4 linked regions of the Anolis sagrei genome follow. The protein of the gene in region 3 interacts with the protein of the main gene of each other region in a pairwise test. Links are inferred from orthologs where the notes say so. Each region holds a gene or a part of one and is shown on either strand. Other genes may lie near its edges.

Region 1 (8,031 bases), on a different chromosome or scaffold from region 3:
GCCTCAAACTGGTTCCAGGATTTTCTATTTTCTTCAATGCCAGTTTGAAAGTGCATTAAATGGTCTGTGCAGATGGGGCCATGGTTTCATTGTGGATTTTTTTCTTCCAGTTTAGCATCCCTTTTCCAGAATTCCAAAATAGGAAATACTCAAAAATCCAAAACTACTCACATGGGTGATTGCAAAAGTGACATCTCTGCTGACAATTCAGAGTACACAAACTTCTGCACTCCATTATAAACAAATTAAACCTTTGCTTTATGTAATGATAAAGGAAATTGGCATGGTGCCCAATATTATGCCTGCTTTTCTTCCTCTATGGTACAATAAACGATAAAGGAGAACAATGACATTCTGTTCAGTCGGAAGCATGTTGTAGTTGGAGACCTGTTGCAACTTACACTTTCCCATGGCAATCCTGTCTTTCACATATATATATAACTGAATGCACAAGGCATTCACTAGGAAGCATAGGGCATTTCAATTTGTGGTGTCAGTTTGTGTATGAAAAATTAACCACAAATGTCAGACAGAGTAAAGATAAAAATCCTGTTAAATAACTCGAGGATATGTAAATTGATTTCAGAAGACACAGACAAAACTAGCGGTGAAATTGATATCCTGTGCAAATAATTTATATATGAAGACAGCATGATACATATTTGTCTCATTAATAAATCAAGACACCCTTCCTGCATATTTAATAGCAACTTGAATGAATGTGGCCAGGTCAATCAGATAAAGTGAAGCAGAGGGGAAACACAACCTAACTGGAATAGGAATGATGGATTCTATAAGTGGATTCTGTTCATATGTTTGATAACAAATAATTCTTCATATACTCACATGTCCTGAAAATGTGGATGAATGTTGTAATAATGCTCACCTGAAATCTACACACTGAGGCAATAAATGGTATGAGGGACATATTGTGAATGTGAAATATGATCTGCCTAAAAAGCAGTAGGGCAGATAATTGTCAAATTCAACAAAGTTTCTAAACCAGAATTTGCATTAAGATTATTATAACTACAAGGACCACAACTGAAATCACTATTAGCAGTATGGTGGAACAAACAAGCACCTTGGTATCTCTATGGATGTCCTGGTCCTCAAACACTCTGTGCTTCGTTCAGAAAAATATATCTTATACTAGGGCGGCTCAACCCATTACGCAAAGTAAGCATTTGCAGTATAGTTGATTTTGCCCAGGGGCATTCTTGAGGCGCTCTTGGGGGAAAATAGACCTTGACATATGCGAGTTGTAGTTACTGGGATGTATAGTTCACCTACAATCAAAGAGCATTCTGAACTCCACCAATGATGGAATTGAACCAAATATGGCACACAGAACTCCCACAACAAACAGAAAATATATATCACTGATTGGTTGGGGGGGGGGGCATCAAAATACTGTTTGCTTACCGTTGAAAATTACTTAGGGCCGCCTCTGTCTTATGCCCATAGCCTGAATGTAATTTTATACAATATTTTAAAAATATTTGTGCATGAAACAAAGTTTGTGTGCACTGAACCATCATATATCAAAGGTGTCACTATCTGTGCCAACCATGTGGACAGTTTTGGTGTATTTTCAATTTCACAGTTGTGGATACATGAAGATCTCATAATGCATTCTAGAAACATGCTTTTATGAAAATTAAAAAAAAATCTCACACATAATGAGCTGTCTGTAAACCTTGAGATAAAACAAACCCGAACAATTGATGAGAAGTGTGATTGCAAATCATATGGCCGTTAAAATATTAAAGGCTGAGAAAACAAAGGACCAAAGATGGAAAGTGAATAGTTGCTGCTTCAAGACAGGTGAAGGTATAAGTAAAATTTAAGATTAATTTAAATTTAATGCAACTATATCTTATAAGATGATGATTATACTGCATTGCAAAAAAGATTCAATCGTGGTTTTTTTCTTTTAAAAAAAACTTACGAGAGGATTTGGAGAGCAGAAAAAAGAGGATTACAGTTCTTCTCAGCAGCAAGTAATCCTTTTAAGGTAGGTATGTCAGTACTCATTGAGAACTGTGGGAAAGTGCTGGCTACTTAAAATGTTTGACAGATTGAGGAAAATGTAATGGCAGGAAGCTGAGATTAAAAATCTTATTATTACAGTGGACCCCCAATTCAGTTAAGGTCCCAATTTTTAAAAAAAAATGAGCTGAGCTTTAGTTTAATATTTCTGATATAGTGTTAAAAATTACTAGGAAAGCAGTATGCATAGTACTTATTCAATGAAGCACATTTACTCCCAGAGAGTGCCCTTATGCTACAATTATATTTTCCTACAATGGACAGATTTGGTCTGCTTTCATATCTGCTAATAGTGTCTTCATGTAGACATTTATTCTGCTCAGAAAACAGCAGTTCAAAAGTGCTTCAGCCCAATTATAGGGTGTATCATAAGTCTCAAGCAGAATTATGGTTATGAATTTCACTGCCTGGTTGAAATTCAAAGGGAGGGGCTGAGCAATCATCAGAAATACTCTCATAGGATGATGAGCAAAGTCAAAGGCTACTCCAGAACCAATAGTTATAAAATATAACCAATGTCAGGTTTCAAGTTGCCGATGAAGAGCACCTAAGGTCTAGCTGTAACGTTATGTCTGAAATGCTGATAAGAGCCTTTTGAGAAGGTAATAATAACACAAAGACAACCAAAGCATTGGGAAAAAAGACTTTGAAGTAATTCAAAAGAGGATTTTTGTCAGTTGCAGAAATTCAGTAAATGCATGGGAAATCCATGGCAGTAAATGGAGAGGTGTTTGTGATACAGCTGGGGCGGTTACAGTTAAATTAATTCCAATAAAATGAAAAAGTCTGCTTCTCTGTTACATAAAGGCAAAAGAAAGGCATTCTAAGCAGCATACATTAAAAAAGGAAACACCAGAGAAAGAATGATCGCATATTAAAAATAAAGGAATTACTGTACAAAAGTATAAAGTTTTGAAAGAAGACAGACCGCAGCAAAGAAGAGGGAGTGGCAAAGCATATAAAACAGCCCTGGGTTTTATACATTTCTTAAGGGAATTTGACAGTGCTCATGTCTTGCACATTTGTATTATAATTCCATTTAATTTATCACAGGGCATTCTATCACAATCATTTGGTTCATGCTCATGGACAGCTATTTAGCTGCATTGAATGGCTCCACCATAATGTTAAAGAGCAGGACAAGCACCAACAGAAAGGCACCTTGAGAACACAAAAGGCTCTTATTTCACAAGGAACTTCTGAGAATTTGCTTACCACCATTATTGCTTTTCTCTTTTGTTTTTTCCAACAAAGCTTACCGTAAATCACACCTGTATGTTTCAACTTTATGGTGTTGCAATGCAAACCGTTATTGATTTTTGTTGTTGTGTTAGGAGTAACTTGAGAAACTGCAAGTTGCTTCTGGTGTGAGAGAATTGGCCACCTGCAAGTTCTGCAGATGATGCCAGACTGTAGCTACCTGCAAGAACGTTGCCCAGGGGACGCCCGAATGTTTTGACCATCCTTGTGGGAGGCTTCCCTCATGTCTCCGCATGAGGAGCTGGAGCTGATAGAGGGAGCTCATCCGCGCTCTCCCCGGATTTGAACCTGCGACCTGTCAGACTTCAGTCCTGTCAGCACAGGGGTTTAACCCATCGCGCCATTGGGAGCTCCTCGTTATTGAAATGACTCAGTGTTAATATTTGTGCACAACCCTTTAACCCTAAGAAAGAATGGAGGAAATCATGAAGTTCTGCAGATGATGCCAGACTGTAGCTACCAACAATTCCTTACCACTGGCAATGGTACCCAGGATTGCTGGGACTTGCAGCTGTATTTGATTATTTATTTACACCAGTGTTTCTCAACCTGGGCGTCGGGAACCCTGGAGGGAGCTAGATGTGAATGTTTCAACTGACCACCTAGATTAGCATTTAATGGCTTGGAAGTGCCTGGGGGGAATCTTTCGTTGGGAGTGATTTGATGTGCCTGATTGTTTACTCTCTGTTGTTTTGCTGTCAATCAGCAATCAAGGTGGTCAGTTGAAACATTCACACTTAGCTGCAGCAATCAGAAGTCCTTTGTCCCACCTTGGTCATTCCACAGATATATAAACCCATTTTCCTATTTCCAACAGCCCTCACTACCTCTGAGGATGCTTGGCATAGATGCAGGCAAAACGTCAGGAGAAAATGCCTCCAGAACATGGCCATATAGCCCAGAAAAACCAACAACAACCCAGTGATTCCGGTCATGAAAGCCTTCGACAATCCACTATCCCTTTTGCAGGACTTTCCCTTGCGTTGCCTTTCCTCTCGCCGCCTGAAGGTGGCGCTGGACCGGCCCGCTTGCTCGCCTTGGCCTGCGCACTCGGAGTGACGCATGCGCGCTCCGGCCGGGGCTCCTCCTGCTTCTCCGCCTCTTCCGCCCCCTCTCGCCACGCTCTCCGCGTCCGGCGGCAAGGAAGCGCTCGTTTGAATTTGGGATCACGCGGTTTGCGCGGAAAAGAAGGCAAAGGTGGGCTTGATCCGGGCTTTTCCGGGGTTTGGGGTCCAGGAAGGCCAAGGAGGGCTTTCTGCCATAGGGACAAAAAAGTTTCTTCTTGTTGGAAAAAGTTGGGTGATTTGGATTTGGCACAAAAGCTGTTTGGAGGGAAGGCGCCTTGCCTTGCCTTGGGTCTTTCTTAGGCGAGGGAGGCTCAGAGGCGGGTTTGGCAGTGCTCTCCTCTGAAATGTAGCCTTGGTGGGCTCCCCTCCAAGCCCTAACCAGGGCTGACCCTGCTTAGCACCCAGCATCAGACTGGGATCTGGTGCCTTTAGGGTCCTTAGGCCTATTGCAAAGTGACAATAATATTCCTCTGAAATATAATTATATATTATATATTACATGTAATATCACTAATAATATTGCAGTATAGTAGAATATAATAATATAGAATACTAATATTGTGCTATGCTAATAATTATAATATATTGTATGTTCAAACAATATTGATATAATATTATAATACAATATAATACTAGTAATAATACAATATAATAATATAATAATGTGTTTTATATTATATGTAGTATTAATATTGTAGTAGAGTGGTATTGTGCAATATTTATTTATTTATTTATTTGAACTTATATGTGTTAACCTATAAAGCCCTAAACGACTCCGGCCCTGTTTACCTCTCCGAACGTATTCTCCCCTATGAACCATCAAGATTACTAAGATCGTCTGGAGAGGCCCTGCTCTCGGTCCCACCGGCCTCGCAAGCGCATCTGGTGGGGACGAGGGACAGGGCCTTCTCAGTGGTGGCCCCTCGACTCTGGAACTCTCTCCCACCGGAGATCAGAACCGCCCCTTCTATCCTGACATTCAGGAAGAAGGTGAAGATGTGGTTATGGAGACAGGCATTCGATGAGTGAGCCAATACCCTGAGATATGGATGGAGGATGATGAACATCGAATTTAGTGGGACGACTGACCATTGTATTTATTGAATGTAATTGCTGTTTTGCTGTTCTAATGTTTTAATGTTTTATTGCAATATGAAGTGTGATGTTTTATTGACTGTATGTATATTATGGTTGGAAACCGGTCTAAGTCCCTCATATATAATACTAATATTGTGCTGTGCTAATAATAATATATTGTATGTACATATAATACTGATCATAATGTAATACAATATCATACTAGTAATACTACAATATAATATAATAATATATTTTATATTACACATACTAATATTGTGCTATGCTAATAATTATAATATATTGTATCTACATATAATATTGATCATAATATTGGGTTGTTGTAGGTTTTTTTGGGCTATATCGCCATATTCTAGAGGCATTTCTCCTGATGTTTTGCCTGCATCTATGGCAAGCATCCTCAGAGGTAGATGCAGGCGAAACGTCAAGAGAAATGACTCTAGAACATGGCGATATAGCCCGAAAAAACCTACAACAACCCAGTGATTCCGACCATGAAAGCCTTCGACAGTAGATCATAATATTGTAATACAATATAATACTAGTAATACTATAATATAATATATGTAGTATTATATGTAGTATTAATAATATGACAGTACAGTGGTATAGTAAAATATAGTAATATATATTACTAATATTTTACTATGCTAATAATTATATTTTATGTACATATAATATTGATCATAATATTGTAATACAATTTAATACTAATAATAACTATATATGCTATATTACATGTAGTGTTACTAATAATATGACAGTAGGTGTATAGTACAATATAGTAATATGTAATACTACTATTGTGCTATGGTAATAATATAATATATTGTTTGTACATATAACTTGTAAGCCCTTTGGGGTGAGAAGGGTGGTATATAAATGTTGTAAATAAATAAATGTTGCTTATGGCATTCATTGGTGGTTTCCCATCCAAGTACTATCCAGGACTGACCCTGCTTAGCATCCAGGATCAGACAGGATCTGGTGCCTTCAGGGTATTTATTTAGTCCTGAACCAAGGAAACTATCACTAGCTTCTAGGGAAAGCTCGAGAGATTTTAGACTTCAGGAGGTGGGGCCAACAAAGAAACAAACAAAAGAATGTGCTTTCGAAATGATTTTCCAGAGGGCAGTTCTGGCAGAGAATTCCTTGCAAAAGTAAGATTGCAGTTGTTTAAGAGTGAAAGAAGCCCGGCCTCCTCTGTGTTTGAGGCCTCCCTGTCTTTTTGTTTTTGGGCTGCAGTGAGTTTTCTGGGCTGCATTGCCATGTTCCAGAAGCATTCTCTCCTGATGTTTCACCCACATCTATGGCAGGCATCCTCAGGTTGTGAGATTTGTTGGAGACTAGGCAAGTGATGTTTATATATCCGTGGAATAATGTCCAGGGTGGGAGAAAGAACTCTTTGTCTGTTTGAGGCAAGTGTGAATGTTGCAGTTGATGCAGTTTGAAGCCTTGCAGCTTCAAAGCCTGGCTACTTCCTGCCAAAATGGGAATTCCAGACAAGAAACAATCAGGGCCAGCTAATCACCTCCCAACAAAGGATTCCCCCCAGGCAGGAAGTGAGAAATCTACCCCTTGGAAGGGAAATTCATTCCTGAAAAGGTTTTTATGGGGAAATGGTCTCCACTGAAGCTTGTATCACCAATCCTTGATTCCACAACAAGCCATTTTTTTTTCAAAAATTGAAAACACTTAAAAATGTACCTGTTTTGACTTACATACAAATTCAACTTAAGAGCAAACCTACAGAACCTACCTGGTTTGCAACTTGGGGACTGCCTATTCAGAAGAGTCTTGTGGCACTTTACAGATTTCTATGGAATGCAACATAGCTGACATTTAAGATATTCTCAAGACTCTTCAGTAACTTTGGTGCAAAATACTAACACTGGGAACCTTAGAAGAGATCTGACATTAAAATAAGAACGGTATTGGTATTGTATTTCTGCTCTTATCTGTGATCTTGCGTTTCTAAGGGTCCTTGTACATTATAGAATTATTACAGTTTGACACTACTTCAACTGCTGTGGCTCAAAGCTAGGGAATTATAACATGGGAGTTGTAGTTTTACAAGCTTTAACTTTCTCCGCCCAACTCCCAGGAATCCATTGCATTGGGCCTAAAAACATGGATTTTTAAGCAGATCGTTGACCTTGAGTAGGCTGAAATGGGCCCATATGAAGTTGACATTTTGGCATTTCATTTGTGATTTGAAGGCAGCTAGTTTTAACTACAGATGGTCTGTGCTTTAAACTGTGTTTTTATTTTATTTGATGTGTTAATAGTGGTTGCTTTTATAAATTATCTGATACTGTTTTTATACTAATGTACTGCTTATGTTATACACAACATCTGTAGTGCCTTGTAAGCTGCCCCGAGTCCCTTTTGAGAAATGGTGGCAGGATATAAATAAAGATAATAATAATTATTATTAAAGTGGAGTCAAACTGCATTAATTCTCCAGTGTAGATACACCCTAAGAGTGGGGCTGGAGAAGTAGCAGTGCAGAGACTCATATCTTCTCTTGTAGTGGGCTGTTGGGGCATTTGAA
Region 2 (7,672 bases), on a different chromosome or scaffold from region 3:
TTTTCCAGTTCAAAATTATTTTGTTTATTTATGTATGGCTTACCTGACCTTCTATAGTGTGCATGCACCCGAAGCAGTAGGCGATCATAATCCATTAGATAAAACTCCTTTCCTTCAATATTTCTTCACACATAAACACTTTTAACATGCTATTAATAAACAGGTCTCTCTATATAATGCATCCTCTCTTACTCTCTCTCTCTCATCTCCTTCAGAACATTGCCTGTCCTCCTTCTGCCAGGAATTCTGGGAGTTGAAGTCCCAAACAACCAGAGGGCCATACGTTTGATACCACTGCATAATATCTTCCACACTGACTTTCTCAAGCAATCACTACCTGTATGCAAATTTACTTCATTTATGGACAATTCATTCTATACCTGCCACTGAAATCCATATAACCATATTATATTAATGGAACACAATATAGGATCACTAACTATCATGACAATTTATGTAATATCACAGGGAACATTCTGTGCACAGGTTTCTCACTTTTTCTGCTCGTTGTGAGTAGTAGTACTGGGGTTCCATCTACACTAGCCATTTAATGCAGTTTGAAGCTAAGTTCAAAATGTGGCGACCAAATAATAAACTCTCACAAAAGAAAGAAAGCCCTCAATGCACCCCAGTGCTCTGTTATTTGGGTAATTATCATCTGACCCTCAAACTGGTTCCATGGTATCATTTGCACAGCAGAAGAGCATTCTTAAATGCTATTTTGAAACTGCATTAAATGGTCAGTGTAGATAGGGCCACAGAATGCAAATCCTGGGATATCTGAAAAGGTCCAGCAGCACTGAATGTTATGATTATATCCCAAAGCCAGCAGTGACAAAGATCGATAGACTGGGTCTCGGCTAAAGTTTTTTTTAAAAAAAACAGTGTCACCCTAAAACTTATTTTTAGGGGAGCTAAGAGAGAAACACAATCTTTCTCTCTCTTATTCATAGATTTACATATACTCACAACAAAACTTGGCTTATTTACAAAGTAATTCAGAAGGAGGCATGGAAAAGAGAAAAGTCAAATATCTTACTTTAGTTTGGTAGTCACAAATATTATTATTAGATTTGAAATTTCCAACCTTTTATCACTCAGTCCTATATGGTAATGTACTTTAGCTGTACTGTACCCTGCCTTCAGGAGAGGTGGCCACAAATAAATAATAAAAATATTTAAGAGACCAGAAGTCAGAACCAATGAGGTTGTGACAACTTAGTAGCATGTTTGTCTTATATGTTAAAAAAATAAAGGCTACTGGCAGATCTTTTGTCTGCTATCCCTTTCTATTTCTCTTGCACTATAATAATAATGGGCCTCCTGGTAGCACAGCGGGTTAAACCGCTGAGCTGCTGAACTTGCTGACTGAAAGGTTGGAAGTTTGAATCCAGGGAGCAGGGTAGGCTCTCGCTGTTAGGCCCAGCTTTTGTCAACCTAGCAGTTCGAGAACATGCAAATGTGAGTAGATCAATAGGTACCACTTCTGCAGGAAGGTAACGATGCTCCAGGCAGTCATGCCGGCCGTGGAGGTGTCTACGGACAACACTGGCTCTTTGGCTTAGAAATGGAGATGAGCACCACCTCCCAGTAATAATACAATAATATTAAAAAAGACTAGAAGTCAGAACCAATTTAATAGTAATATTTAAAAAGACTAGGAGTCAGAACCAATTAGGTTGTGACAACTTAGTAGCATGTTTGTCCTATATGTTATAAAAATAAAGGATTCTGGCAGATCTTCTGTCTTCCATCCTTTTCCATTTGTCTTGCACTATAATAATAATGCCCCCCCCCCACTGGTGCAGCGGGTTACACCTCTGAGCTGCTGATCTTGCTGACCGAAAGGTTGGCAAATCAAATTCGGGGAGCAGGGTGAGCTCCCGTTGTTAGGCCCACTTTCTCCCAACCTAGCAGTTTGAAAACATGCAAAGTGAGTAGATCAATGGGAACCACTTTTGCGGGAAGGTAACAGTGCTCCATGTAGTCATACTAGCTACATGGCCTTGGAGGTGTCTATGGACAGTGCTGGCTCTTCGGCTTAGAAATGGAGATGAGCACCACCCCCCAGAGTCGGGCATGACTGGACTTAATGTCAGGGGAAACTTTTACCTTTACTACTACTACTAATAATAATAATAATAATATACTATAATATAATAATAAAACTTTATTTATAACCTGTCCTATCTCCCGGGGGAGGGGATCCTCAGGGCAATTTCCCAAAAAGGATGGAAAACATTTAATACCACAATAAACAATAGAAACAAAACAAATCAAACCAAACAGTAAACAAACACATAAATACAAACTTATAGTAACTGGCCACCATACATATCTATTTGACAGTTTGCCCCACTAAATTTAATAGTTTACTTTCATATTAGCGTGCATAGGATTACAACCTTCCCTGTTTTCAGGAGGCCTTGCTTTTGATCCTCTTCTCTAAATCTGATCAGAGTTAATGCCTACCACCTGGAAATGTTTTGCAATTGCACTCTATATTCAAATTCAAAACAGCACAAAAAGAAAAGTCAAAAGAGGAATATACTGGGGTTGCAACTCATAAGAATATAACATTATATCAATGCTGTTAAGAGCACCAGCACCTTTTGGTAGTGGGGTCCAGAGGTGACCAATGGACTCTGCTTTGGAATGTCGTGCCTCCTCCCTAGCAATGTTTTCCTTGAGTGCATCTCCACTGTAGAATTAACACAGTTTGACACCACATGGCTCTGTGTTACAGAATTCTGGGTTTGTGGTCATCCTTTGGTAGAGAAGACTAATGGCCTTGTAGGATTACAACTCTAAGGATTCCATAGCCTTGAGTTATGGAATTGAGTTAAAATAGTATCAAAATGCATTCATTCAACAGTTAATCTCAAAGGTGCCCTAATACATGGAAGGCAGTGCAAGCGGGAACACCTTTTATTATCCTCTTCTGATGCTTCCCAAACCCCTCCACAGTCCCCAAACACTCAGCTTACACTGTAGAACAGGCATGGGCAAACTTCGCCCCTCCAGTTGTTTTGGACTACAACTCCCACAATTCCTAACAGCCTCAGGCCCTTTCTTTTTGCCCCTCATCTGCTTAGCCAAAGTTTGCCCATGCCTGTTGTAGAATGAATGCAGTTTGGCACTACTTTGAACCGTCATGGGTCAAAGCTAAGGAGCCCTGGGAGTTGTAGTTTTGCCAAGGCACCAGGGGAGGCTGAAGCCCTTGCACAACTACAGATTCCATAGCATTGAGCCATGGCCCTTGACTTGGTATCAAACTGCATTCATTCTACCAGAGGAGAGGAAATCAGAGATTGCCCTGGTAATGAATGCTTAAGAGGGAACTTCCTAGCCACTCCGTGCGCATGCGTGTTGCAGTTCTTTTCCCCCTCCTCCTACCCCTCCCAAAAGGAATTCCGTCCCGTTAGAAAGGCGGCTGCAGTTACCTATTTGCCTCGCGCAGTCGGCCGGGTTGCGCGCGTGAGGCGAAGGAAGCGGCACCGCTGGGCTCGCGACCCCCAAAGGGCTAGGGCGACTGAGCTTCATTCATTTGTAGACTCGCCTCTACGCTGTCCACTTCCGGCGCCCTTGCGACACCTCCCCTCTCCCCCGAGGGAAAGGCTGGGTGGAGACACTCCTCATTCGAGAACCCACGGGTGCCTCTCTACACTATAGCATTAATGCAGTTTGACACCACTTTAACTGCCATGGGTCAATGCTATGAAACCACAGAAGTTGTAGTTTTAAAAGTTATCTTGCCTTCTCTGCTGGAGCCTTCTCAAGCCACAACGCCCAGGATCCCATAGCATTGAGACCTGGCAGTTAAAGTGGTGTCAAACTGCATTAATTCAGACTGTGTAGATCAGTGCTTCTCAACCTTGGGTCCCCAGATGTTTTTGGCCTACAACTCCCAGAAATCCAAGCTAGTTTACCAGCTGTTAGGATTTCTGGGAATTGTAGGCCAAAAACATCTGGGGACCCCAGGTTGGGAACCACTGGTGTAGATGCATCTTCTGTGTGGGTTGCATGTTAGGCCAAGGGTGCAGTTACACTGTAGAGTTAATATAAAATATAAAATTATAACAGTAAACAAAGAACAAAACTCCAGACAAGAAACAAACAGGAACACCTAATCACCTCTCAACAAAGGATTTTCCCAGGCAGTAACAAGTTACACCTAAAAACCGTCAGGCCATCAAATGCTAATCAAGGTGGCCAATTGAAACAATTACACCTAGCTCCAACAGACAAGAGTTCTTTCTCCCACACTGGACTTTCCACAGATATATAAACCCAATTGTTCTAGTTTCCAACAGACCTCACAACTTTTGAGGATGCCTGCCACAGTTGTAGGCGAAACGTCAGGAGAGAATGCTTCTAGAACATGGCCATACAGCCCGAAAAACCTACCACAACCCAGTGATTCTGGCCACGAAAGCCTTTCAACAATACAGAGTTAATATAGTTTGACATGCAACTGGGATTCAGTTTGGGCTTGTGGTTGATGTAGTTCATCCCATTGTTTATACGGGAAACTCTCAACCAGAACTCAAGCAACCTACAAAAGCAAAGAAATAATACATTAAAATTAAACCAATTTTAGTAGAAATGGAAGTTTAAATTAAGTTTGTCTTTATTTGCTTTCAACTACTGTATTTCAATATTAATATCAATACAAAATTTCTGGTATGAAGTATACTATACTAGGCCCATTTTTAATAGTAGCTCTCAAGCAACCAGAAACTACACCTATCCGGTATCTACATAGCCCCATGGGTGCCAGTTAACTGAGAGTCTACTGCATTGCAGATTGGGCTCATCTCCACTTCTCAGTATTACCATTGCCTGGTTGGCTATCATAATATTTGAGTATTCTTTATTGTGTTCATATTAGAAAACTCTTTTTAATGTTTCCATATAAATTCCCTTTTCCCTTTATATATTTACAGCTTCCTCTAGTTTCTAAGATGAGTCTAGGCCCGGTCATTGCTGAAAGGCTGGCTTTCTCAAGGGTCATCTTATAGGTATACCTTGGGACGAAATGAATAAGCAACCCGGAAGCTCAACGGCTCTTGGTGCTCTACTATTTCCACACTCTGTGCTCATTCTGGCACAACAAACATTCACGCAGGAGGCGTGACCAACAGGCTTGGAACTGTCATCCAGTCGCTGGCCCTAGATGTCAATCAAACGATGGAGGCGGGACAGAAGAACCTCATTGGTGGGCGAAGACTGAGTGTTGTTTGGGAGTGTTCGAAAAGGGGGGAGGAGTTTGATTAACTCATAGAAGTTAGGAGGAAGAGGTGGTGCATAGTAAAGGGGATTAACTCCTTATGTTGTCGAAGACTTTCATGGCCAGAATCACTGGGTTGCTGTGAGTTTTCTGGGTTGTATGGCCATGTTCCAGAAGCATTCTCTCCTGACGTTTCGCCTGCATAGGTGCAGGCGAAACGTCAGGAGAGAATGCTTCTGGAACATGGCCATACAGCCCAGAAAACTCACAGCAACCCAGTGAGGTCACAAGCTCTGAGAAGTCAGTGTCTCTGAGACTTCACAACTTCTGAGGATGCCTGCCATAGGTGCAGGCGAAACGTCAGGAGAGAATGCTTCTGGAACATGGCCATGCAGCCCGGAAAACTCACAGCAACCCATTAACTCTTTAATCAGCTTGAAAATCCAAGGTACGTCTCCACTGGAGCATTTATGGAGTTTGAGACCACTTTAGCTCCCAAGGCTCAATATTAAAGAATCCTGAGAGTTATAGTTTTACAAGGTCTATGAGTACTGGTCTTTGCCAAACTACAACTTTCCACAGGATTGTGCCATGGCAGTTAGAAGTAGTGCCAAACTGTATCCCTGCTACAGTGCAGATGCAACCCTAGCTGGCATCTACTTAAACTAGGCGGAAGAGAGGGAAAAAAACTTTTGAAAACTCATTTCATATCCATCCCATTGAAACCTGCTCTTTATAATGGTAGGGCCATATCTACGCCCTTTCTCTAATTATAAGTTGACTATCCATTATTTGAAATGCTTGGGAACAGAATTAGTTCATAGTTTGGATTTTTGGGGATTTTGGAATACAGTACTTGCATATACAGAATAAGATATGTGGATGAGACTTGTGGCTAAACACGAAATTCATTCATGTGCCATATAACTATGCAAATAGCTTTAAGGTAATTTTATACACCATATCAATAATTTTGTATGTGAGACTATTTGTGTACCCTATACCATCAGAGCAAAAATCCATGGACTATTTCAGAATTTGAAATTCTGCATAATGGATGCTCAACCCAAAATTGATTGCCATACAGAGCAACCCGAAGCCTCGCTGTTAAGTCATTCACCACAATTGTGTTGTTGCTTGAGTGTTGGATTGGGGTTTGAAGTCCTGTTTGGCCATGGAAGCATACTGAGTGGCTTTGGGAAAGTCACTCTCTCTCAGCTTTGGAGGGAAGTACGGGCAAATACTCCTTGGATCAAATTCTGCCAAGGAAACCCCAATATGGTTCACCATGAATCAGAAATGACTTGAAGGCCCAAAATTATGTAAAGGATTTGATTTCGGTAGCCCCTTGCTTTCCTCTGAGGTTGAGAGAGTGTGACTTCTCTGAATTCATTTGCAGTGGTTCTCAACCTGTGGGTCCTCAGATGTTTTGGCCTCCAACTCCCAGAAATCCCAGGCCATTTACCACCAGTTAGGATTTCTGGGAGTTGAAGGCCAAAACATCTGGGCACCACTGGGCACTGATTTAGTGGGTTTTGGGGGCCAATTAGACTGAGAGGGGAAAAAAAACATTGGAGGAAGGAGCACCAACAATATTCAAGTGACACCAAAATACCAAGACATTGAATGATTACTGAATAGTCAAGGTAGAAAGTGCAGAAGCGGGTTTACAGTTGAACGTTAAGAAAACAAAATATAATGACCATGAATGATTTACATAACTTTAAAGTAGACATTGAAAAAGTTAAAGATTTCCCGTACTTGGTTCAATCATTAATCAGAGTTGAGATTGTGGTCAAAAAATCCGAAAATGACAAAGGTTTGGAAGGGCAGTTTTGAAAAAACTAGACAAGATTCTAAAGTGTTGAGATATATCATGAATGCTAAAGTTAGAATGGTCCATGTCGTTGTATGCCCCGTTTCTATGTATGGTTGTGAAAGCTGGACAGCAAAACAAAACAAAACCCCAAAACAAAACAACAACAAAAGCAAATTGGAAGAAAATCAACTTATTTGAGGTGAAGTGCTGGAAAAGAGTTCTGCAGACACTGTAGACTGCCAAGATGATTAAATGGAGACTGTTGTACTTTGGACATATAAGAAGAAAATGTAACACGGTGATAATGTAACACGGTTTTTGTTCCTGGGTTATAAATGTCATTTCCCACTTGGTTCTATCATAAAAACATGGGGAAAGCTTATTAAACTGCAAAAACTTTGCGGGACATCCTGCAGCATGTTTTGCTGTAACTTTCAATGAATATCTAATAGTCTCAGCCAATTCAACATAGTTTATGGCAGCCACAAAAACAAAGCTTCTAGAGTATAACAACTACTTTCAAACTACTGCACAATTAAACAGGAAATAACACTTTCAAACCAGAAACAGAAAAGAAATCAATTTTATTACATAGTATAATGTTTGCAGATGTGGAGAGCAGT
Region 3 (8,236 bases):
TTTAGACTACTGCAACGCTCTCTACGTGGGGTTGTCTTTGAAGACAGCTCGGAAGCTCCAACTAGTCCAACACTCGGCAGCCATGATTTTAACAGGAGCGGAGCGCAGGGAGCATACAACCCCCCTGTTGCGCCAACTCCACTGGCAACTGATCTGCTACCGGGCTGAATTCAAAGTGCTGGCGTTGGCCTTTAAAGCCCTAAACGGTTCCGGCCCAAGCTACCTATCTGACTGCATCTCTGCCTATGAACCCACCAGGACTTTGAGATCTTCCGGGGAGACCCTGCTCTCGATCCCGCCTGCTTCTCAAGCTCGGCTGGCGGGGACGAGAGATAGGGCCTTCTCGGTGGTGGCTCCTCGGCTGTGGAACGCCCTTCCTACAGACATTAGACTAGCACCATCTCTAATGGTATTCCGCAAAAAGGTGAAGACCTGGATGTATGTGCAGGCGTTTGAGTAATTTAGTGCAATCTGGTAATGGAACATAGGAATGGAACAATGGACAACGAACCTGGACTACGCTTGGATGATGAGAAGATTGGGTACGGTTGTTTTTTGTAATAATTGTGCATTGTAATTGCTTATTGGTAATTTATGGATAATGTGTTAAGTCAATTGTTATATGTTGTATGGAACCACTGCTGTTTCTACTGTTTTTACTGTTTGTGAACCGCTGTGAGTCGCCTTCGGGCTTGAGATACAGCGGTATATAAGCAAAGTAAATAAATAAATAAATAAATATATCCAAGCCTTCTCCCAAAATAAGATCCCAACACACTTTACTCACAACTGCCATTCAAACTTGAGTGAAAACAGAAACCTTAACTAATGTAGTTGTTTCCAGATTAAGATGGAAACTAGTATTTAATGTAGCCTAGCTGCTTGTAAACAGAAGGTGGATGGAGAGCAGAGGGGGAGCCTGCATACCATAAATACTGATAGAGAATTGTTAATTAACTACTGTATATACTCAAGTATAAGCATAGTTTTTCAGCCCCTTTTTCAGCCTGAAAAAGCTTCCCTCGGCTTATATTCGAGTCAAGATTATTTATTATCTTACTCTATTATTAGTATGATTTTTATTACATTTATTAATTTACTCTATTATTATTACTACTATTTTATTACGTTTATTATTTTTCTCTATTTATTATTATTATTATTACATTTATTATTTTCTCTATTTGTTATTATTATTACACTTATTATTTTACTCTATTATTGTTTTGATTACATTTATTACATTTATTTATTTATTTACTGTATTTGTATACCGCCTTTCTCAGCCCATAGGCGACTCAAGGCAGTTAACAGGGTAAAATTCAATGCTTACAATATCATAAATACAATTAGAAGCATAACATATAATAAAAATTAACATATCAATAACATATAAATTTATAGTGTATCCTTGTTAAAAACATTGTCCGGTCTCATTGTTGCCATTTATTATTTTATTCTTACATTTATTATTTTACTTTATTATTATTGTTATTATTATGATACATTTAGATTATTCTACTCTGTTTTTTTAAAATATTGGTAGCCAGATTTTGTTCATTTTCATGGTTTCTTCCTTTCTGTTGAAATTGTCTACATCCTTGTGGATTTCAATGGCTTCTCTGTGTAGTCTGACATGGTGGTTGTGAGAGTGGTCCAGCATTTCTGTGTTCTCAAATAATATGCTGTGTCCAGGTTGGTTCATCAGGTGCTCTGCTATGGCTGACTACACAGAGAAGCCATTGAAATCCACAAGAAGCATGTGGACAATTTCAACAGAAAGGAGGAAACCATGAAAATGAACAAAATCTGGCTACCGGTATTAAAAAAAACTCTAAAATTACAACAGCAAAACAACAGAGCCAGACTACTAACGGGAGCGGGGTACAGGGAGCATACTACTCCTCTGTTGCGCCAGCTCCACTGGCTGCCAGTCAGCTTCCGAGCACAATTCAAAGTGCTGGTCTTAACCTATAAAGCCCTAAACGACTCCAGCCCAATTTACCTGTCCAAACGTATCCTCCCCTAGGAGCCACCAAGATTGCTAAGATCGTCTGGAGGGGCCCTGCTCTCAATCCCACCGGCCTCACAGGCGCGGCTGGTGGGGACGAGAGACAGGGCCTTCTCGGTGGTGGCCCCTCGACTCTGGAACTCCCTTCCACTGGAGATCAGAACTGACCCTTCTATCTTAACGTTCAGGAAACAGGTGAAAACTTGGCTTTGGGGATTGGCATTCGACGAATGAGCCATGATCCTGTGATATGGATGGATGACGACGAATAATGACTTTTGATGACGACTGACCCCTGTAATTATATGATTGTATTTTGCTATTTTAATGTTTTAGTGTGATTTAGAAAATGATGTTTTAATGACTGTCTGTAATATTGATGTTGGAAACTGGCCTGAGTCCGTCGAACAGAGGTGAGAAGACCGGTATACAAAACTGCTAAATAAATAATAAATAAATAATAATCACCTCTCAACAAAAGATTGCCCCAGGCACTGCCAGGCCATCAAATGCTAATCAAGGTGGTCAGTTGAAACATTCACACCTAGCTCCAACAGACAAGAGTCCTTTGTCCCCACCCTGGTCATTCCACAGATATATAAACCCATTTTCCTAGTTCCAACTACCTCTGAGGATGCTTGCCATAGATGCAGGCGAAACGTCAGGAGAGAATGCCTCTAGAACATGGCAACCTATTATTATTGTAATTTATCTATTATTATTATTATAATAGTGCAGAGTGCACCTTTTATGAGATTCACCTCACAGCAAAACCTTATACTTTTAACTTTATTTTTATAAATTATACTAGCTGTCCCTTGCCACGTGTTGCTGTGGCCCAGTCTGGAGATCTGGAAAATAAAGTAATGAGAAAGTGTTGGTTTCTAATATATGTAATTCCTTGATGCTTGTGAGTAAACAGTATTTCTTGTTGTTTCTTTGTCAGTGTTGATGGGGAGAGTGTCTGGTTTGCCTACTCTGGAATATGCAACATATCATAGTCCTTCTTTAAGGGTCTCTTTCAAATCTGTGATACTATATCTGTGTGTGTGAGAGAGAGAATCATATCTATCTATGTATATTTATGTCTGGATGGCTCTTTGTCAGGAGGGCTCTGATTACATTTTCTTGCCCTGGTGAAGAGAGTTGGACTGGATGGCCTTAAGTAATTTCTGTTGGTCATGGGGGTTCTGTGTGGGAAGATTGCCCCATTTCTGTTGTTTGTGGGTTTCAGAATGCTCCTTAATTGTAGTGAACTATAAATCCCAGTAACTGCAAATCCCAAATGTCAAGGTCTATTTCCTCCAAACTCCATCTGTGTGCATATTTAGGCATATGGAATTTTTGCGTCAAGTTTGGTCCAGATCCATCATTGTTTGAGTCCACAGTGCTCTCTGGATGTAGGTGAACTACAACTCCCAAACTCAAGGTCAATGCCCACCAAACCCTTCCAGTGTGTTTTGTTGGTCATGGAAGTCCTGCATGCCATGTTTGGTTCAATTCTATCATTGGTGGAGTTCAGAATGCTCTTTGATTATAGGTGAACTATAAATCCCAGTAAGTACAAATCCTAAATGTCAAGGTCTATTTCCCACAAACTCCATCTGTGTTCATATTTGGGCATATTGCATATTCGTGCCAGGTTTGATCCAGATCCATCATTGTTTGAGTCCACAGTGCTCTCTGGATGTAGGTGAACTACAACTCCCAAACTCAAGGTCAATGCCCACCAAACCCTTCCAGTGTGTTGGTCATGGAAGTCCTGTATGCCATGTTTGGTTCAATTGTATCATTGGTGGAGTTCATAATGCTCTTTGATTGTAGGTGAACTATAAATCCCAACAAGTACAACTCCCAAATGTCAAGGTCTATTTTCCCCAAACTCCATCTGTGTTTATATCTGGGCAGATTGAGTATTTGTGCCAGGTTTGGTCCAGGTCCATCACTGTTTGAGTCCACAGTGCTCTCTAGATGTAGGTGAACTACAACTCCCAAACTCAACATCAATGCCCATCAAACCTTTCTAGTGTTGTCTGTTGGTCAGGGGAGTCCTGTGTGTCAAGTGTGGTTCAATTCCATCATTGATGGAGTTCAGAATGCTCTTTGATTGTAGGTGAATTATAAATCCCAGCAACTACAACTTCCAAATGACAAAACCATAATGTTTTGAGTGATGGTCACTCCTTGTGTAGTGAGACGTTTTGTTGCCAAATTTGGTGTGATTTCGTTCATTGATTCTTTTGTTTTTAAGGTACTCATTATGCACAGAGCATTTTTATATATACAAATAGATATATTGTATTAATTTCCCATAAAATGCAGCTATATTTCCTATTAAAAGAATAACAACACATAAGCACACCAAACAGTTCTCAAGCATCCTCTAATTCTCCCTTCCCTTTTACAAAAATACTTTTAAAACATAAAATATATATTAAATAGAGTAAGAACAGCCCTGAGGCCTTGAAGAAGGAGACAAACTCACCCCAGGCCAAGCTCTCTCAGGCTGCTTCCCCTTTAGAACGCAGAGCATCCCGGGAAATGGAGTCCCCGCCCTGCCCGACGTCCCTTAGGCACGCCTTCCCCTTCGCCTCGAAAGAAACTACCCTTCCCGAAATGCACCGCGCCGCCTTGACGCTTCTCCCCGCTTGGCTCCTTGCGGCCATGAAGAACCACAGAGAGGGAAAGGCTAGAGGGGGCTTTAACGTAATCCAAGATGGCGGCAAACGCTCGGTTAAGGAAGCTTCCTGCTTTGTGGGGACTTGTCTAGCAAAGCGGAAGTGGCCGTGTTTGTGTGCCAGTGGAGGCCGGAAGAGGAGGATGGTGGCTGAGGGATGCTGAGAAAGGAAAAGAGAGAAGTTCTGCTGAGTTGAGTTGCTCTTGGTGGCCTTTGGAGTAATTGATATATCTATTATTAATGCATAATATGTAACATATAACACATATATTTATATTATATATATTATATATTGTAATAATATATACAGTAATAGATATATAATATATTATATATTATATATATAATCTTAGATATATAATATATAATAATATTATCTATATTATTAGATATATTAGACAGTAATAGCTATATAATATTGTATATATTTATATATTACTATATTATATATTATTATAATAATATTATATACAGTAATAAGATATATAATATATATTATATATATAATCTTATATATATAATATATATCTAATAATGTTAAATTTAATTTATCTATATTATTAGATATATTAGACAGTAATAGATATATTATATATATTATATATATATTATATATATAATCATAGATATATAATATCTAATAATATTATATATAATTTTATCTATATTATTAGATATATTAGGCAGTAATAAATATATAATATTATATATATTTATATATTAATATATGTTATATATTATAATAATATTATATACAGTAATAGATATATAATATATTATATATTATATATATTATATATATAATCTTAGATATATAATATATATCTAATAATATTATATATAATTTATCTATATTATTAGATATATTGGACAGTAATAGATATATAATGTTATATATCTATAATCTTAGATATACATAATATATACTTAATAATATTATATATAATTTTATCTATTGTTGTTGTTCATTCGTTCAGTCATCTCCGACTCTTCGTGACCTCATGGACCAGCCCACGCCAGAGCTCCCTGTCGGCCGTCACCACCCCCAGCTCCTTCAAGGTCAGTCCAGTCACTTCAAGGATGCCATCCATCCATCTTGCCCTTGGTCGGCCCCTCTTCCTTTGACCTTCCACTTTCCCCAGCATCATTGTCTTCTCCAAGCTTTCCTGTCTCCTCATGATGTGGCCAAAGGACTTCAACTTTGTCTCTAGTCTCCTTCCCTCCAATGAGCAGCCGGGCTTTATTTCCTGGAGGATGGACTGGTTGGATCTTCTCGCAGTCCAAGGCACTCTCAGCACTTTCCTCCAACACCACAGCTCAAAAGCATCTCTCTTCCTTCGCTCAGCCTTCCCTAAGGTCCAGATCTCACATCCGTAGGTTACTACAGGGAATACCATGGCTTTGACTAGGCGGATCTTTGTTGCCAGTCTGATGTCTCTACTCTTCACTATTTTATCGAGACTGGACATTGCTCTCCTCCCAAGAAGTAAGCGTCTTCTGATTTCCTGGCTACAGTCTGCATCTGCAGTAATCTTTGCACCTAGAAATACAAAGTCTGTCACGGCCTCCACGGTTTCTCCCTCTATTTTCCAGTTGTCAATCATTCTTGTTGCCATAATCTTGGTTTTTTTGATGTTTAGCTGCAACCCGGCTTTTGCGCTTTCTTCTTTCACCTTGATTAGAAGGCTCCTCAGCTCCTCCTCGCTTTCGGCCATCAGAGTGGTGTCATCTGCATATCTGAGGTTGTTAATGTTTCTTCCACCAATTTTCACCCCAGCTTTGCATTCATCCAGCCCCGCACATCACATGATGTGTTCTGCATACAAGTTAAAAAGGTTGGGTGAGAGGATGCAGCCTTGCCGTACGCCTTTCCCAATCTTGAACCAGTCTGTTGTTCCGTGGTCAGTTCTGACTGTTGCTACTTGGTCCTTGTACAGATTCCTCAGGAGAGAGACAAGGTGGCTTGGTATGCCCATCCCACCAAGAACTTGCCACAATTTATTATGATCCACACAGTCAAAGGCTTTAGAATAGTCAATGAAGCAGAAGTAGATGTTTTTCTGAAACTCCCTGCCTTTCTCCATTATCCAGCGGATATTGGCAATCTGGTCTCTCGTTCCTCTGCCTTTTCTAAACCCAGCTTGAACGTCTGGCCACTCTCGCTCCATGTCTGTCTGGAGTCTTCCTTGCAGGATCTTGAGCATTACCTTACTGGCATGAGAAATAAGGGCCACTGACGGAAGTCTCTGATGTCTCTACTCTTTACTATTTTATTGAGATTGAACATTGCTCTCTCCCAAGAAGTAAGCGTCTTCTGATTTCCTGGCCACAGTCTGCATCTGCAGTAATCTTTGCACCTAGAAATGCAAAGTCTGTCACGGCCTCCACCTTCTTCTCCCTCTATTTTCCAGTTGTCAATCATTCTTGTTGCCATAATCTTGGTTTTTTTTTAATGTTTAGCTGCAACCCAGCTTTTGCGCTTTCTTCTTTCACCTTGGTTAGAAGGCTCCCCAGCTCCTCCTCGCTTTCGGCCATCAAAGTGGTGTCATCTGCATATCTGAGGTTGTTAATGTTTCCTCCAGCAATTTTCACCCCAGCCTTGCATTCATCAAGCCCCGCACATCCTCGCATGATGTGTTCTGCATACAAGTTGAAAAGGTTGGGTGAGAGGATGCAGCCTTGCCGTACGCCTTTCCCAATCTTGAACCAGTCTGTTGTTCCGTGGTCAGTTCTGACTGTTGCTACTTGGTCCTTATACAGATTCCTCAGGAGAGAGGGAAGGGGGCTTGGGATGCCCATCCCACCAAGAACTTGCCACAGTTTATTATGATCTACACAGTCAAAGGCTTTAGAACAGTCAATGAAGCTGAAAGAGATGTTTTTCTGAAACTCCCTGCCTTTCTCCATTATCCAGCGGATATTGGCAATCTGGTCTCTCGTTCCTCTGCCTTTTCTAAACCCAGCTTGTACATCTGGCAACTCTCTCTCCATGTATTGCTGGAGTCTTCCTTGCAGGATCTTGAGCATTACCTTACTGGCATGAGAAATAAGGGCCACCGTACGGAAGTTGGAGCAGTCTTTCGCATTTCCCTTTTTTGGTATGGGGATATAAGTTGATTTTTTCCAGTCTGATGGCCATTCTTGTGTTTTCCATATTTGCTGGCATATGGCATGCATCACCTTGACAGCATCATCTTTTAAGATTTTAAACAGTTCAGCTGGGATCCCGTCATCTCCTGCTGCCTTATTGTTAGCAATGCTTCTTAAGGCCCATTCCACCTCACTCAGATATATATTAGATAATATATATCTAATAATATTATATATAATTTTATCTATATTATTAGATATATTAGACAGTAATAGATAGATAATATACATTTATATATATATATATATATATATATATATATATATATATATAACAATAATAATATATACAGTAATATATATAATATGTATCTAATAAAATTATATATAATATTATCTATATTATTAGATATATTAGACAGTAAGAAATATATAATATATATTATATATATAATCTT
Region 4 (8,560 bases), on a different chromosome or scaffold from region 3:
TCCAAAGATGGAGCCTCCACCACACTCCGGGTTAGAGAGTTCCACTGCTGAACAGCTCCCACAATTTGGATGTTCTTCCTGATGTTCAAGTGGAATCTCCTTTCTTGTAGTTTGAAGCCATTGTTCCGCGTCCTAGTCTCCATGGCAGCAGAAAGCAAGCTTGCTCCTGCCTCCCTATGACTTTCCCTTACATACATGGCCCTCATCATGCCTCCTCTCAGCCTTCTCTTCTGCAGGCTAAACATGCCCAGCTCTTTAAGCTGCTCCTCATAGGGCTTGTTTTCCAGACTCGCCCTCCTCTGGACACATACCAACATCTCCCTTCAAGTGTGGTGCCCAGAATTGGACACAGTGTAATTCCAGGTGTGGTCTGAGCAAGGCAGAACAGAAGGGTGGCATGATTTATGTTCTGATTTATGCAGGCCAAAATCTCATGGGCTTTCTTAGCTGTTGCACCATGTTGTTGGCTCATGGTGCAACAGATCTTTTCCACATGGACTGCTGTACAGCCAGGCATTCCCATTCTGTATCTTTCATTTGTCCCTGTTGAACTTCATTGAGTTGAAGTCCAAAACACCTGGAGGACCAAAGTTTGCCCATGGCTGGTGCAGAGGCACCCTTAGTTACAATGGCTGCCAAGGGAAGCATCCCTCCTTCTCCTCTTTCCAGCTGACTTTCCCAAAGCAGTCTTTCTAAGCCCAAGGCAAGAGAGCAGGAGAGCCCTCCGCCTGGTCCCTCTGCCTTGCCGCCTGCTGCCCGCCTGCCTGCTTGCCTACTTCTCGCTTGCAGCCGCCGCTCTTTGTTTTCCACATAGCTCTGCGCTGACATCATCCGGGTTTGGATTGCAATTAACATTCCTGCGAAGTGAGAAGCCAGGGCTCGCGCAGCTATGAGAAGCAGCAGCAGCCGGGAAGAGACAAAAGCCAAAACTAGACATATCTCCAGATAACCACAAAGCATGCTTGCACAATGTATAGATGGATGCATACTCACAACTGAACCCCCAACTCAACAACCGACACCTCCAAACAAGCACATTGAATTAAGCAAAGAATGGCACAGGAAGGAGTTCAAAGCAACCCTCGCTCACTCCAGCTGTACATTGAGGCCTTGCTTGCCCAACTTTCTCAAGAACAACCCAGTCAAAGAAAGCGGGCAAGAACCAGAGCCAGCCAAAGGGATTGAAGAAACCTCTCCCGAAAACCAAGAGTGCAACCATCCCACTTCACCATGGCGTGACTTGGCCTTCCAAGAATCACTAAAGGCTACTATTGCTTCTCAATGAGTACATAACATTTTGACCTCAGGCATGGCTTGACTATGGCTGGACCTGCACTGCCAAACAACACATTATTCCTAATATTAGTAATAATATTGCAATATAGTGGTATAGTACAAGTTAATAATATTATATATATATATATATATATTACTAATATTGTTATATGCTAATAATATAATATATTATATATACATATAATATTAATAATATTAGAATGTAACACAATATAATACTAATAATACAATATAGTAATAGTAATATATAGTAATAATATTATTATAATGCAATACAATATTAATACAATATAGTAATATATAGTAATAACATTGCAATATAATACTAATATATACATATGACATTAAAATATTGTAATGCAATACAATATAATACTAATAAAACATAGTAATATAGAGTAATAATATAGTAATATAATAATACTAATATATATACATATAATAATACTGTAAAGCAATATAATACTAATAATATAGTAATATATAGTAATAATAGTGTAATATAAGAATACTAATATATATATATATATACATATACATATAATAATATTGTAATGCAATATAATATGGAGTAATAATATTGTAAAATAATACTAATATATGAAATAGATACATATTATATTTTAATGCAACACAATATACTAATAATACATGATGCAATATAGTAGTATATAGTAACAATATTGTCATATAATACTAATACATTAAATATAGTACTACTGATATGATAATAATAAATAATGATATACTGTTTTACTATTGTATATTTGTATATTTTAAGTTGCAATATTTTGGATTGTGAGCCACTTTGAGAGATAAAGCGGGATATAAATAAACAACTCAATAAATAATGTGGTCAGTGTCAATCCATATCATAAATTCAGTGCAGATCTGACTTTTTGCTCCCAAAGAATCATCCCTCTTGGCTCTTAAAGGGGGCATCACATTCTGACTCCAATAGATATGCTTTGCCTTCGCCTTCAAAGAATCAAGGCTAGTATGAACTGTTAAAGAGTGCAAGACATTTCGACCCCAAAAGACACAGATGTATTTAGCCTCCAAAGAATAATCAGGACTGCTGAAGAGTGCATAACACCCAGGCTTCAAGAAGACATGGATTTACTCAGCCTATGAACCATAGCATGCCTGCCATAGATGCAGGCGAAACGTCAGGAGAGAAGGCTTCCAGAGCATGGCCATATGGCCCAAAAAACCTACAACAACCCAACCATTGTAGAGTTGTTATATGAATTTCCTAAGATGTCTGGCCATGTTCCAGAAGCATTCTCTCCTGACGTTTCGCCTGCGTCGATGGCAGACATCCTCAGAGGTTGTGAGGCCTCACAACCTCTGAGGATGCCTGCCATCGATGAAGGCGAAACGTCAGGAGAGAATGCTTCTGGAACATGGCCAGACAGCCCAGGAATCTCACAACAACCCGGCGATTCTGGCCATGAAAGCCTTCGACAACCACTGACGATACGATTCGCTTTTAAAGAAGGCACCACATTGCGAGTTTCTTGGGTTGAGTGAGCCCTCCAAGAACTGCAAAGGCTGCAATAAGCTGGGGAAGAATGGGCGCATACACACACATTTTGGGAAGACATGAATGAAGGCTCCGCTGTGAGGGGAATACTCACCGGACCATACTAGCAGCAGCACAGCCTTGCCTTCTCCCAACGTAGTCCCGGGCCTCCCAAAAGCGCAAACTCGGTGCTTTTCCTCTGGTTTGCGGGGGAGAGGACGACCAGTTGCCACAAAGCCCGGGCGGAGAGTGCTGTGCGTGCGTGCGCTCCTTGAGCAGTGCGCCTTGGTGAATGCGAGGTTGCCTCTCTCTGTGTGTGTGAATGTGACCAGCTTGCCTGCCTCCTCTCCCTCCTCCTTTTCCCCCCTGCTGGAAGGAAGGCGACTTTCAATGGTGTCCCTCCCTCCCTCCCTCTTTCCTCCTCCTCCTCCTCCTCCAGCTGCAAGGAGAGCCAGGGAGGCTGGGTTGCGCGAGAGGCGGCGCCCGGCGCTGCTATGCCAGGAATGCGAGAGTTTTCAGGTTTCCCCCGGGATCAAAAGCAGGCAGCTCGCTGCAAAGCATGACCTTGCCCAGGCCCACAGCCCGGCAGGAGGCGCGCGGCAAGGTCGCCAAGACGCCTCCCCGCTCGCCACGCTCCCCTGCCCTCGCCCCACTCGCCTGGGACCCGCTTTCGAGAGAGACCCCACTCTTAAAACCCCCGTTGTGGGCATTCCTGCTTCTACACAGCTATTGGGTACAGCAGAGCTTTCCACACTTTTCGGGACACGTAGATGTATCAGGCCAATGTAACAAGAAATGACAAAAGGCTTGGTAATGTGCGAGGGTTATCTGGAAAGTAGGGTTACAAGGTAACCATAAATATAAATATAATAATCTTATAGATAAATAAAAATGTAATGTTCGTTTGTGGGATTAACAGAACTCAAAAACCACTGGACGAATTGACACCAAATTTGGACACAAGACACATATCAAACCAACCAGTGACCATCACTCATAAAAACACTGAAAAACACTGCAGAAGGGACTTAAAAAGCTAAATAATAAACATTACATTACAATGCATGTGCAAAACCACATACACAAATATATACACACATATATACACACACAAAACACATGTGCACAGACTGGGCCACAGCAACGCGTGACGGGGTGGCTAGTCTATATAAATAAAAATGTAATGTTCGTTTGTGGGATTAACAGAACTCAAAAACCAGTGGGCCAATTGACACCAAATTTGGACACAAGACACTTAACAACCCAATGTATGTCCTTCACTCAAAAAATGATTTTGTCATTTGGGAGTTGCTGGGATTTATAGTTCACCTACAATCACAGAGCATTCTGAACCCCACCAACGATTTGAACCAAACTTGACACACAGAATTCCCATGACCAACAGAAAATACTGGAACGGTTTCGTGGGCAGTGTCCTTTGGTTTTGGAGTTGTAGTTCACCTACATCCAGAGATCGCTCAAACAATGATGGATCTGGACCAAACTCTACACAAATACTTGATATGCCCAAATGTGAACACTGGTAGAGTTTGGGGAAAATAGAATCTTGACATTTGGGAGTGGTAGTTGCTGGGATTTATAGTTCACCTACAATCAAAGAGCATTCTGAACCCCACCAACGATAGAATTGGGCCAAACCTCCCACACAGAACCTCCATGTGGGCCACAGCAACGCATGGCAGGGGGCGGCTAGTCTATATAAATAAAAATGTAATGTTCGTTTGTGGGATTAACAGAACTCAAAAACCACTGAGGGAATTAACTCCAAATTTGGACACAAGACACCTAACAATCCAATGTATGTCCTTCACTAAAAAAAATGATTTTGTCATTTGGGAGTTGTAGTTGCTGGGATTTATAGTTCACCTACAATCCAAGAGCATTTTGAACTCCACCAATTATGGAATTGAACCAAACATGGCACACAAGACTCTCATGACCAACAGAAACACTAGAAGGTTTTAGTGGGCATTGACTTTGAGTTTGGGAGTTATAATTCACCTATATCCAGAGAGCACTGTGGACTCAAACAATGATGGATCTGGACCCAGCTTGGCACAAATATTCCATATGCCCAAATATGAACACAGACTGAGTTTGGGGGAAATAGACCTTGACATTTGGGAGTTGTAGTTACTAGGATTTATAGTTCATCTACAATCAAGGAGCATTCTGAATCCCACCAGCAATAGAATTGGGCTAAACTTCCCACACAGAACCCCCATGACCAACAGAAAATACTTAAGGCCATCCAGTTCAACTCTCTTCACCAGGGCAAAGAGCCATCCAGCCATAGATAGAAATAGATATGATTCACACACAGAGAGATATAGTATCATAGATTTGAAAGGGACCCCCTAAAGGACAATAATATGTTGCATGTTCCAGAGTAGGCAAACCAGATAATCTCTACATCAACACTGACAAAGAAACAACAAGAAATGCTGTTTACCCAGAAACATAAAGAAATTACATATATTAGAAACCAACACTTATTTTCCAGATCACCAAACTGGGCCACAGAAACGTGTGGCAGGGGATGGTTAGTCTATATAAATAAAAATGTAATATTTGTTTGTGGGATTAACAGAACTCAAAAACCACTGGACGAATTGACACCAAATTTGGACACTACACCCCTAACAGACGAACAAGTGACCATCACTCATAAAAACACTGAGAAACACAGCAGAAGGGACTTAAAAAGCCACCCCCCAAATACATTACATGTGCAAAACCACTTATATATATACACAGACACACATATATACACACATATGCATATACACACACAAAATACATACACAGAAAGGGGGAAGGAAGGAAAGAAGGGAAGGAGAGAAAGAAGGAAAGAAAGAAGGATAGAGAAGGAAGGAAGGAGAGCAGGAGGGAGAGAAAGAGGGAGAGAAGGAGAGAAGGAAAGAGAAAGGTAGAGAAGGAAGGAAGGAGAGAAGGAAATAAAAAAGTGAAAGGGGGAGGAAGGAGAGAAGGAACAAAAGAAAGAAAGAGGGAGGGAAAGAAGGAAGGAAAGAGACCAGGAAGGATGGAACCAAAGAGCAAAGGAAGCGAGAAAAGAAACAGTTAGAAAAGGAAGAAATAAGAAGGTAAAGAAAAAGAGGGAAGGAAAGAAAGAGGGAGGGAAGGAGAGAAAGAAAGAAGAGAAAGAGGGAGGGAAGGTTGAGTACCGCAACGTGTGCCGGGTACAGCTAGTAAAATATAAATATAAATAAACAAAGTATAAATAAAACAACAACAATAATAATTATAATAAATAATATAATATATATAATATAATTATAATTACTTAGGCGATCTTTCTTAGCTTTAGGATGATGGTTTTCCAGATGTGTCTTGGTGGTGGGTCCATAGGTGTCTGTGGAGCCCTATTCTTGATCCGCATGTTCTCCTGCAGTGAGGACATCGGTTTCCAGACCGAAGGAGGTTCTGGTCAGGGTAGGCTTGACGTGCCTTTCTCTTGGCACGTTTCTCCCTTTTGCCTCCCATTTGTGCCTTTTCAAATTGTGCAGCAATTGTGGTTAGATCGCTCAAGGGCCATTTCATTTTCCATTCTTGAGTTCGGAATAGAGTAACTGCTTTGGGAGAAGGTGATTGGGCATTCGGACAACCTGGCCAGTTTACACAGTTATTGGGTAGAGCAGAGTTTTCCAAATTTTTCGGGACACCAATATATCACACCAATGTAACAAGAAATGACAAAAGTCTTGGAAATAGTCTTAATATCTTTATCTTACACATCAAATAAGACCCTGTTTTTGTGTGTGAGTGTCAGGGCGACTTGAGAAACTGCAAATCACTTCTGGTGTGAGAGGATTGGCTGTCTTCAAGGATGTTGTCCAGGGGAGGCCCGGATGTTTTGATGTTTTACCATCCTTTTGGGAGGCTTCTCTCATGTCCCTGCATGGGGAGCTGGAGCTGACAGAGGGAGCTCATCCGCTCCCTCCCCGGGTTGGATTCGAACCGGCAACCTGCAGGTCAGCAACTCAATCTTCAAGTCATCAGTCCTGCCGGAACAAGGATTTAACCCACTGCGCCACCGGGAGCTCCTGTAAATATGATTTGGGTGTGTGTAAGGAACGACTTGAGAATCTGCAAGTCATTTCTGGTATGAGAGAATTGACTGTCTTCAAGGATGTTGCACAAGGGACACCCAGATTTTTTTTGATTTTTTAAAACATCCTTGTGGGAGGCTCCTCTCATGTCCTGCCTCCTCTCCTGCTCCCAGTGGCCTTGGGCCTTGACAATTCAAAAAAATTAAAATTAAATTAGATTAAACTTAAAACATATTAAACATTTTAAAACATTCAATTCCATATTAAAATCACACCATCCATAGTTGTAGTCTAAGGTGTTCCACAGTCATTCCATATATTCCAAATCTGTTAATTGCAGTGCACTATTCTCTGAAGGCCTGATCCCACGGCCAAGTTTTTACCTTTCTTCTGAAGGCTAGGCGGGAGGGGGCTGATCTAATGTCACTGGGGGGGGGGGGGAGTTCCATAGCCGAAGGGCTACCACTGAGAAGGCCCTGTCTCTTGTTCCCACCAATCACACCTGTGAAGGAGTCGGGACCATGAGCAGGGCCTCCCAGATGATCTTAATTTCCGAGATGGTTCATAGGGGGAGATACGTTAGGACAGATAAGTTTATTTATTTATCGTGTCAGGGGCAACCAGACAATTGTATTACATTTCTAACAGAACAAAACAAACAAACAAACATACAAAACACAAAATTTGCAAGCTTGGTAGTTGATTAAATGTCCTTTGACCAGTATCTGGCCACTTGGAGTGCCTCTGGTGTTGCTGCAAGAAGGTCCTCCATTCTGCATGTAGCAGGGCTCAGGTTGCATTGCAGCAGGTGGTAAGTGGTTTGCTCTTCTCCATGCTCGCATGTCGTGGATTCCACTTTGTAGCCCCATTTCTTAAGATTGGCTCTGCATCTCGTGGTGCCAGAGCGCAGTCTGTTCAGCGCCTTCCGAGAAGCCTCCTTGCAGGATTGCAAGACATCCAGGTGTCCCCTGGGCAACATCTTCGTAGACGGTTGATTCTCTTACTCCAGAAGCAGTGACATCTCCAGCTCATCCCTTGTTTGGGTATCAGCCAGCACATCAATGACTTAAATCAAGAAATAGTTTTCTAAGATCTACAGAGACACTCACTGGAACACCTCAGCAAGCGAGAGTCCAAAAGTGGCAGGCTCAAACCCAGAACCTCAACCAATGGCTGATACCAAATGAGAGACTTACCCCCTGGGCACACAGAAGACTGGGCCACAGGTAAGCTGAGCCAGAACCATTTAGGGCTTTGTAGACTAAAGCCAACACTTTGAATTGTGCTTGACAGCAGACTGACAGCCAGTGGAGGTGGCATGACAAGTGGGTTGAAACAAACCATTGACTGAAACATTGAGTTTTTACTTCTCAACAAATGTACTTGACATTAATATTACATAAGGAGAGGGAATGTTTATCAAACTACTTTCAGTGCTGGGCAGGTTACAAGCTCTTAATATTGTCGAGTGGGCAAACAATACCTCAAAGTGAGAAGGAAAACAGTCATTCATACAGATTACTTTTGGTAGGAATTACAAAACAACTTCTTAGAAGGTTAACTCAGAATAAGTCCCACTGTGTGCTTTACACTTTATTTTTCCATTAAGCATGTTTACCAAGTTTTGTAGGCAATGTAGGCATTCTGC

The links.
Region 1: the proteins of ZGPAT (region 3) and CDCA7L interact in binary tests that used the Homo sapiens proteins (3 or more experiments, as listed by UniProt). The two-hybrid records come from large-scale screens. The link is inferred for Anolis sagrei from reciprocal best matches to the Homo sapiens genes ZGPAT and CDCA7L.
Region 2: the proteins of ZGPAT (region 3) and MIPOL1 interact in binary tests that used the Homo sapiens proteins (3 or more experiments, as listed by UniProt). The two-hybrid records come from large-scale screens. The link is inferred for Anolis sagrei from reciprocal best matches to the Homo sapiens genes ZGPAT and MIPOL1.
Region 4: the proteins of ZGPAT (region 3) and AMOTL2 interact in binary tests that used the Homo sapiens proteins (3 or more experiments, as listed by UniProt). The two-hybrid records come from large-scale screens. The link is inferred for Anolis sagrei from reciprocal best matches to the Homo sapiens genes ZGPAT and AMOTL2.

What each region holds. Positions count from the first base shown.
Region 1 is NC_090026.1:93,623,293-93,631,323, forward strand, and holds the start of CDCA7L (cell division cycle-associated 7-like protein), read left to right. Parts: upstream 1-4,396; 5' UTR 4,397-4,509; intron 4,510-8,031. UniProt on the Homo sapiens protein: Plays a role in transcriptional regulation as a repressor that inhibits monoamine oxidase A (MAOA) activity and gene expression by binding to the promoter.
Region 2 is NC_090021.1:302,548,633-302,556,304, reverse strand, and holds the start of MIPOL1 (mirror-image polydactyly gene 1 protein), read right to left. Parts: upstream 3,575-7,672; 5' UTR 3,444-3,574; intron 1-3,443.
Region 3 is NC_090024.1:238,898,129-238,906,364, reverse strand, and holds the start of ZGPAT (zinc finger CCCH-type with G patch domain-containing protein), read left to right. Parts: upstream 1-4,787; 5' UTR 4,788-4,879; intron 4,880-8,236. UniProt on the Homo sapiens protein: Transcription repressor that specifically binds the 5'-GGAG[GA]A[GA]A-3' consensus sequence. Represses transcription by recruiting the chromatin multiprotein complex NuRD to target promoters.
Region 4 is NC_090023.1:225,788,182-225,796,741, reverse strand, and holds the start of AMOTL2 (angiomotin-like protein 2), read right to left. Parts: upstream 3,190-8,560; 5' UTR 2,937-3,189; intron 1-2,936. UniProt on the Homo sapiens protein: Regulates the translocation of phosphorylated SRC to peripheral cell-matrix adhesion sites. Required for proper architecture of actin filaments.